2 linked regions of the Oryctolagus cuniculus genome follow. The protein of the gene in region 1 binds, or shares a complex with, the protein of each later gene. Links are inferred from orthologs where the notes say so. Each region holds a gene or a part of one and is shown in the gene's direction. Other genes may lie near its edges.

Region 1 (3,741 bases):
TTGTATCTCAGACTGAGATTGAAAATGTAACCTGATTAAGCATCTGCAGTACTGTAATAAAACAATAACTCCTTTAGAATTTTTTAGAATTTGTCTCTTTCCAAAAAGGGTTTGAAGCAGCTACAATGAGACTGCTATTCAAATGCTGCAGAATCAAGTATCTGGCTTAATACAAGAGGAAAATTTTCAAGCATAGGAAGCCCCTCTTACAACATGGTGGCAAAGGCTTATTCTTTGCAGAACGATTTCTGGCTGCCCTGTTACCTGCCAGATTCTAGCCTCAGCATGGGAGGCAGTATTTTGGGAAAAGCACGAAAGCAACTGAAATGATTAAGCACATTTCTCACTCTAGGCAAAAACTGCTTCACACACAAAAAATTCCGCACCCGATAGGGCTGTGTGTTCCTTAATCGAAAAGGGCACAACAAATAATTATCGTGGACTTGAGTATTTTTCTCAAGGTCTTTCTGAGGGGGGAAAAATCGCATCTCTTTAAAGATGGAAAGCACGGGACTAAACTCTTCTTTATTGTACTGGGGCTGAACTGTTGCAGCTTAGACTTCGGTTGTCAGTCGATAATGAATGCCGCAGATACCTTAAAGCTGTCAGAAGACACGGTGCTCGGGCTTCCAAGCGCTCCTGTCCCCCTCTGCTAACCTGCCAGGCAAGGGCGAGGCGATCGCTCCGAGAGACGCGGCTAACACTTAATCCTCGTCCTCCGGGGAGGACCTTCAGGTTTTACCGACCACTCGGGGCGGAATTAGCTAAATCTTTGAGACGAAGTATTTGCCGTGGCTACAATGTCCTGCTCCAGTTCTGCTCGAACCCTTCAGGGTTATGTATGAGAACGCAAATTCTCTAGCACCACATACACGGAGTAGTAAGCTAGGCCGATCCGAGTCCGCCAAAATGTCCGCAGAAGTGGCGAGAACAGGCGAGCCTGAGGCATCTCACACTCGGCCCTCACTGTCCTTGGGCCTAAGGAACACCTGACGCGAGCGCCGCTTCCAGTCAGGAGTGCGCGCCTCGGGGTCGCCCCCCGTCAGCAGGCAGCGCGCAAGGGCGGCGAGGGCTTCCGACGCGGCCTCTGCGCCCCCTCCCCGGGCGGGGAGCAGCCGCCCACCGCCTCAAGGCGGGCGGGGGAGGCGGGCTGCAGCCAGCTGCCGGCGAGCGCAGCGGCGGCGCCGTTTCGCCGAGTCACCGGGCGGGCGGGCGGCTGGTCCCGTGTGCCCACGCCACGTCCTCTCCGCCAGGGACGCGGTCCAAACAGGGGACGCAGGGGCAAAGAAACGGCAGCCGCCGCGCCTCAAGGTGGCCCAACGGGCACCTCACTCCCAGGAGACGCCGCATTCTCCTAGAACTTGCGCCCCATTCTGGCAGCGTCAGCCGACCCTTCCCTACCAGCATCACGTGCACCTGGAAGTACGTGGGTGGGACCCAAAGCGCCTACGGAAATGACGTAGGTCGCCCCGAGTCGCATGATGTGGCAAAATGCAAAAAAAAAAAAAAAGGAAGGGGGGGAGGGAAAAGCAGAAGCCTGGAGAAAGTGATGAGTCTAGAAAAGTAGTCCCTGCTGTTCCTCTATTTCCCCGGTGTCGCATCAGGAAGCGAGGCCCCCAGCGCACTGCGCCCCGAATCCCTGCGCCTGGCCGCGGCGCGGCGCTCCGTGGAGGGGTACATAAGGCGGAGGGGGGGTGAGGCGACGGGGCGGAGTTTTGTCGCCGGGATCCTTCCGCAGGGCTCAGCCGTTTCCGGAGTCTGCGCTGCGCCCGGTTCCGCCATTGCGGCTCTCCTGGCCCCTGGAGCCTCCGCCCCCGACCCGAGCTCTCTCGTCTGCCTGCCAGTTTCCTGCGTCCCCGGAGAGTATCCTGCCGAGCCCAGCCTCCCCCCTCCCCTTCTCCTCCTCTCCCTTCGGAGAGCCCGGGCAGCCACTGCCCCGAAGCCCCAGTGACAGGAGGAGACTCTACCCCCCGACAGCGCCATGGCCCAGATTCTTCCAATTCGTTTTCAGGAGCATCTCCAGGTGCGGCTAGATCTGGGCTGCTGCGGGCTGTGGTGACGGTGGTAGGAAGGAAGAAGCTACGGTCTGGGCCGGAGCAGGAAGGGAGGGGTGTCGGTGTTTGGCGTAGGTGGAGGAAGGGGCGCTATCTTGGAAAGCTTAAAGGGTTAAAGGATATGGGGCTTGGGTGGAAAGGACGAGAGTTGGGGTGTAAAGGCCGGCAAGCCAGGCCTGACTCTGAGGGCCTTTCTGTCTTGCTTCCTGGAAGGCAAGAACTGCGCGTGTTATCCCCCCTCCCCTTCCCGTTTTATTCAGTTCATTCATTTGGATAGGGGAGTGGGAGAGGGGAATTCTCCCGAGTTTCTTCCGGCCGGAGCAAGCATTCTCATCATCCCCTGGGCCAGTGCAGGGCTGTCACCCTCCACTGCCCATCTCTTCCCTTTCCCCCCATCGTGTCTGCACCCGGGAGTTGCGGGGCGGGTGAGTTGGGGAGGAGCAACCTTTTTTTCTTCCTCCCTCTGCGGCTCTCAACTGAGAAAGGCACCTTTCCGGGGGCGGGGGGTGGGGGTGGCGGCCGTGGCTTGTCCCTTGCCTTCCCCGAGGCAGTAGGAACAGAAGGTCACTGAAGGAATAGAATGGGGGGACGCAGTTTTCAGGGCGCGGTCAGTCTTAGAGTGCGTGGGGTCAAGGTCCCTGGGGAACTCGCTTGGTTTTCCTTTCTTGATTTCTTTGGGGGTGGTGTGGCTCTTAAATCCTTTTGAGTTCAGAACGTAGCAAAGTGTTACCTAGAGGTTATCTGGGGGGGGGGGGGTCCTCAGGAGTCCATCCGGTGGTTGTGAAATGTGTGGCTTGAGTGCCTCCGACAGGATCGCATGGAATGGAACAGAGGCCCGGGGTTAAGGACACACCTGCCCTGAGTTGGTCTGTAACTCGTTTCTTCTTGGTAGATTCTAGAGTTCTTCCGTAAGTGCCTTACCCTGGAGGCAACATTCTTACGGTTGTCTCTTTGGGCAGCTTGCCAATGGCTAGCCTAGGCAGGTGATCATTGAAGGGCTTCGCTGAATTAGGCCTCTTTTTGAGCTTCTGATGTCCCTGGTTCACCAATCCTGGATTCTCATCAGGAATAATAAATTAACTTGGTTTCTTCCCGTATGTCCCCTTAAAGAAGCCTGCCCCAGGGCCATCTACGGCAGGACTCACTTCCTAATCCGAGGATGCAGTGGTTTAAAATGAGACTGGTTCTGGTAACCTATGGGATACTTTTCCACGCAAGGAAGTTTTATGTACTTTCCCCCATTGGTGTAACAAAAGAAAGAGTCTTGTCAATAGAACAGTTAATATTCAGGCTACGAGTAAAATAATTACATATTTCTTTACAGGCATCACATTTGCTTGCACTAGCAAGACATTATTTTCCTTTAAGGTTTGAAATGTAAAGAATGCTAAATCTTTAACCCATTAAGTAAGTTAAGTAGTACAGCTTTGTTCAGTCACCCAAAACTCATGTAAAGTAATGGAATATACCTTGGCTATAAAAACAGTTTTATGAAAGGTTAACACATGTTAGGTGTGACAGAACGGGCTTGGAAAAAGTTATTTTTTGTGCTCCATCCAAGTTTAATTACTGTGATTACCTCTGTTAAAAAAGGGGTGGTAAATGAGTGTGGAGGATTAGGAAAGTACTGTTCTTGCATGAGAAGGGGAAACCCAGGCTCTTCCTCGCACTAAAGTACATCTGAAAT
Region 2 (3,741 bases), on another chromosome or scaffold:
GGCTGGGCCAGGTAGGAAAGCCAGGAGCCTGACTTCCACATGAGGGGCAGGGAGCCCACTTTCCTAGGCTCCACCTTCCCAGGGAGCTGGATTGGATGTGGGGCAGCCAGTACGAGAACCAGCGGTTTAACTGCGTTGCCATAAGGTAGGCTCTTGGCCTCATGGTTAAGCTGCTGCCTGAGATGTCTCCATCCCACATTGGAGTGCCTGGATTCAGGTCCTAGCTCTTCCGGGGTTCCAACTTCCCGCCGTGTGCACCCGAAAGGAAGCAAGTGATGGCTGAAGTAGCTGGGTCCTTGCCATCCACCTGCATTGGGTTCCCCTGCTCCTGGCTTCTGCCTGCCCCTTGCCTGCTGTTGCATTTGGGGAGTGAACCAGCTGATGAGAGATTTCCCGCTCTCTGTGGTTTTCAATTTAATAACAATGATGATGATAATGATGATGATGTTGATGATGATAAACAACCGAAATTCCATGGTGCTGCTCTGGTCTCCCAAAGTCTTGTGTTTAAAAGTCTGCCTGCTTTGCCGTGAGTCCGTCTGGCTAGCCTGGGATCGCCCTGGTACCTGGCAAAGCAGAGGTAGAGAGGTGACATTCAGGGACAGATTACCGAGCGTGGCCCAGTAGCCTGCCTGGATAAATTAAGTGTGCCTTTCTCCAGCACTTCTTACCCAAAGGCCGTCGAAGGGGCCGCGCTGGTCCTAAGAGCGGGCGCCTCCTCCAAGGAAGAGACACGGAGGGCAAAAGCACGAAAGCGACACGGCCGTGCTGGGAGCGACGCGGCGAAGGCTTTGCCAGCCTCCTTCCCAACCTCCAGGCGCAGGTGGTAGGGTTCCCAACACCGACCCCGCCGAGGCTAGAGGGCTTTGGCCGAACGAGTCCTGAGCGAACTCTGCGCAGGCCGGCCGCGGCCCAGCGCGCCCTGCGGCCACTTTGCGCCGTGCGCCCCGCCGACCGACCCCACCAGAGCGAAACGCGCTCGCGGCCGGCCGAGGAGCCAGGAGCCAGCCCGCCGGGCCCCCAGGCGCTCCGGCGCCGTTCTGCTGCCGCCCTCCTGTGGCCGTCGCGAGGCGACCTCCGGGCCGTCCCGGGCCCCCTCCCTCGGCCGGTGACATCACCACATTCCCGCTCCCGGCTCCTCCCGCCGCGGCGCCTGCAGCCGCAGTGACAGGCGCGCCGGGCCCGGTGGCGGAGAGAGGAAGTCGGGGCCGCCGCGCCGAGGCCGGTCCCGCGGTGGCTCGGGTGACAGCGCCAGGTACGGTTGCAGCAGGCACCGGGGAAGATGGCTGAGGACTTCGGCTTCTTCCCGCCGTCCGAGAGCGGGGCGGCTGAGGAGGACCCGGCGGCCGCCTTCCTGGCTCAGCAGGAGAGCGAGATCGCGGGCATCGAGAACGACGAAGGCTTTGCCGCACCTGCCGCCGGCCAGGTGGCCGCGGCGCCGCCGGGACCCGCGAGCGGGGGTGAGTCAGCGCCAGGGCCCGGGAGCTGGGGGCTTGGGGCTGGCCCCCGGGGGCCCCTGGCCTAGGGCCCCTGCCGTGCAGTGAAGCGGGCCTGCGGTAGGCCCGCCAGGGGCCGGCCGGGGGCCGTGCGTGGGTAGGGAGCGGGCCTGCGGGAAGTGGGCAGGCATTTCCCTGGAGGTCCTCACGCAAGACCTCAGGGAGGGGCAGGAGCTGAGCGCTCTCCCGGGACTGTGGGTCGGGTCTGGTGACTCTCAGAATCCGGCATGACATTTCACCCCCCAGGCCAGCTTCGCCGCCAGGCCTGGCTCTGGAATCCAGTTCCTCCCGAGCCTTCTAATGGCCTGGCCGTCCCAGGCTCCCCGGTGAGTGGTGCAGATGTGGGCGGAACCAAGCCACCTCCTGGCCCTTCAGCATAGCTCTGGCCCACAGCGGGGGAAGCCAGGGACACTAGTACTCCAGGAACTCGCAAACCTCCTCCGCCACCCTACAGTCCCTGGGGGCGGACAGGGCAGTCCCGGTGAATCATCTCGCAGGCACTGCTGAGCCCATTTCCGAGCCAGCTACACGGAGGCGCGCTATTGAAATGACTAAGAAGTGGCAGATGAAGAATTTGAATCTGTTTCTGTCACACTCCAAAGCCTCTCCAGCCGACCCTGCTGTCCCCAATGTGCACCCCCTGGGGTTGGGGCAGGGGCACCCCTCAGCTTTTTCCTGCCCTTCAGGAATGAGTACTGGCAGTCCAGAGCTGCTGTGGTTGGCTCTGGGGCCTGGACCCTGGGGTATAGTATTTATCATTGGTGTTCTTGCTCTGATTTTAGTTTGAAATTTTTTTTTCTCAAAAAACTGAATAAGAAAGTAGATGGCATCTTTGTGAATACATCCAAAACATACGTTGCTTCTGCTAAAGCTGTCTTTCTGCAGGAGTTTGTGGGGCTGTTGGGATAAGTGCTCACATGGATCCCTACATGCAGCGGCTTTCAAAAAGTTGGTGGAAAATGGAATTTAAAGAAAAGAGTTTTTTGGTGCAGAAAAAAAAAACTGAAATCCAGCCATAGAATTTTCATAATACGCATTTTCCACCAACTTTTTGAAGACCCCTCATATGCATGCATTTCACATTTTTTTGCACCCAAATAAACATTTCTTTGAAATTTCTGCAGTATTCTCATATATAATGTTTACAAAGCTCTTTACAGTAATATGTGTGATTATTTGACTGTTTGCTGAACACCTAGTGTGTGCCAGTCCTGCCCCCACCATCCCAAACCTGGGGGATGTAGAACTAGGCAGTTTCTGTGACCCAGGAATTAGAAGCAACCCTTAGGCCTCCATGTAAGAAATGTAACAAATCTTTTGTAACACGTGAGGCACTGGAGATCTCGAGAGCCTGCCTCTCTTGCCAAAGCTGGGCTGCTTACCTCTGGGCTCCATGCTGTGGCAACCTCCCTGGGAGACCAAGAGATGTGGAAATACCATGGGCAGGTGTTTCCTTACCTGAGCATGCCAGCCTCAGAGGTCTTCGGAAGCAGCAACTCCCAGCACCTCAAGTTCATGAGCCAAACATTCATTTATCCAGCCTCCTCCCTGATGAGCCCATTCCTTTCCCCCAGTCTGGCTCAGCCCTGAGAGGCCCTGCTGGGCCCAGCAGTTGTCAGAGAGAGAAGGGCAGGTGGGATGCAGGCCCAGGGCAGCCAGAGGCACGGGAGAGTTGAGGAGGTTGCAGCCTCTCCCAGAACAGTGGGGCTCCACCGACCTGCAGGCCTGGGGTACCGACTGGCCCCAGATCCAAGGTGACAGGGAAAGAAACAACCAGGGACTTACAGGGAGCTGCTGGGGACACAGCCCTCGGGCAAGCAGGCTCACCCACTGAGGCTGCCTTCCTGGGTGGCTATGGGGATGGCGGTGGTGGGCAGCTCAGCGGGCGGCTTCACTGGGGAGAATTGATCTGGCCCCTCTAAGCGCAGGCAGCACGGAACAGACAATCCTCCCCAGACCTGAGATGAGGCCAGGGCGCCTGGATGGGGCAGGGGAGGGTCTGGGCCTCCCCGGAGCTGAGCGGAAGCTGGCTCCAGCCTCAGCAGCTGCCACTTAACACCTCTGCCCCGCCTTCTCTTAGATGAGGGGGTCGCTGTCTGAGCAGTGCCACTGTTGTGTGCTCTGATGTTGGGCTTCCAGTGCCCCTGGGGACAGAGGTGTCTGGGGTGGGCCTGCGCCCTGAATTGAGTCTCTGCTGGGGATGGGGCGGGTGGGGCTGAATCTGTAGCCAGCCTGAGCACCGGAC

The links. The genes of interacting proteins can lie anywhere in the genome.
Region 2: the proteins of CLTC (region 1) and CLTB are in contact, whole or in part, in a cryo-EM structure (PDB 6SCT), measured with the Sus scrofa proteins. The link is inferred for Oryctolagus cuniculus from reciprocal best matches to the Homo sapiens genes CLTC and CLTB. Residues at the interface, in NP_001139599.1 of Sus scrofa: Gln1291, Arg1293, Gly1294, Phe1296, Lys1326, Phe1327, Gln1354, Ala1355, His1356, Pro1382, Thr1383, Glu1413, Phe1414, Lys1415, Pro1416, Leu1417, Gln1444, Pro1446, Leu1447, Thr1473, Glu1474, Glu1475, Glu1503, Leu1504, Ile1505, Arg1508, Leu1533, Lys1535, Met1538, Lys1562; in XP_005661527.2 of Sus scrofa: Pro100, Ser102, Trp106, Gln110, Leu114, Ser121, Thr124, Glu125, Trp128, Arg129, Ala132, Asp135, Leu136, Trp139, Val147, Asn150, Lys151, Asn154, Arg155, Asp158, Tyr162, Glu191, Trp192, Lys194, Val195, Leu198, Cys199, Asp200, Phe201, Cys209.

What each region holds. Positions count from the first base shown.
Region 1 is NC_091448.1:34,909,955-34,913,695, forward strand, and holds the start of CLTC (clathrin heavy chain 1), read left to right. Parts: upstream 1-1,509; 5' UTR 1,510-1,981; coding exon 1,982-2,023; intron 2,024-3,741. UniProt on the Homo sapiens protein: Clathrin is the major protein of the polyhedral coat of coated pits and vesicles. Two different adapter protein complexes link the clathrin lattice either to the plasma membrane or to the trans-Golgi network.
Region 2 is NC_091437.1:62,417,877-62,421,617, reverse strand, and holds the start of CLTB (clathrin light chain B), read left to right. Parts: upstream 1-1,118; 5' UTR 1,119-1,282; coding exon 1,283-1,460; intron 1,461-3,741. UniProt on the Homo sapiens protein: Clathrin is the major protein of the polyhedral coat of coated pits and vesicles.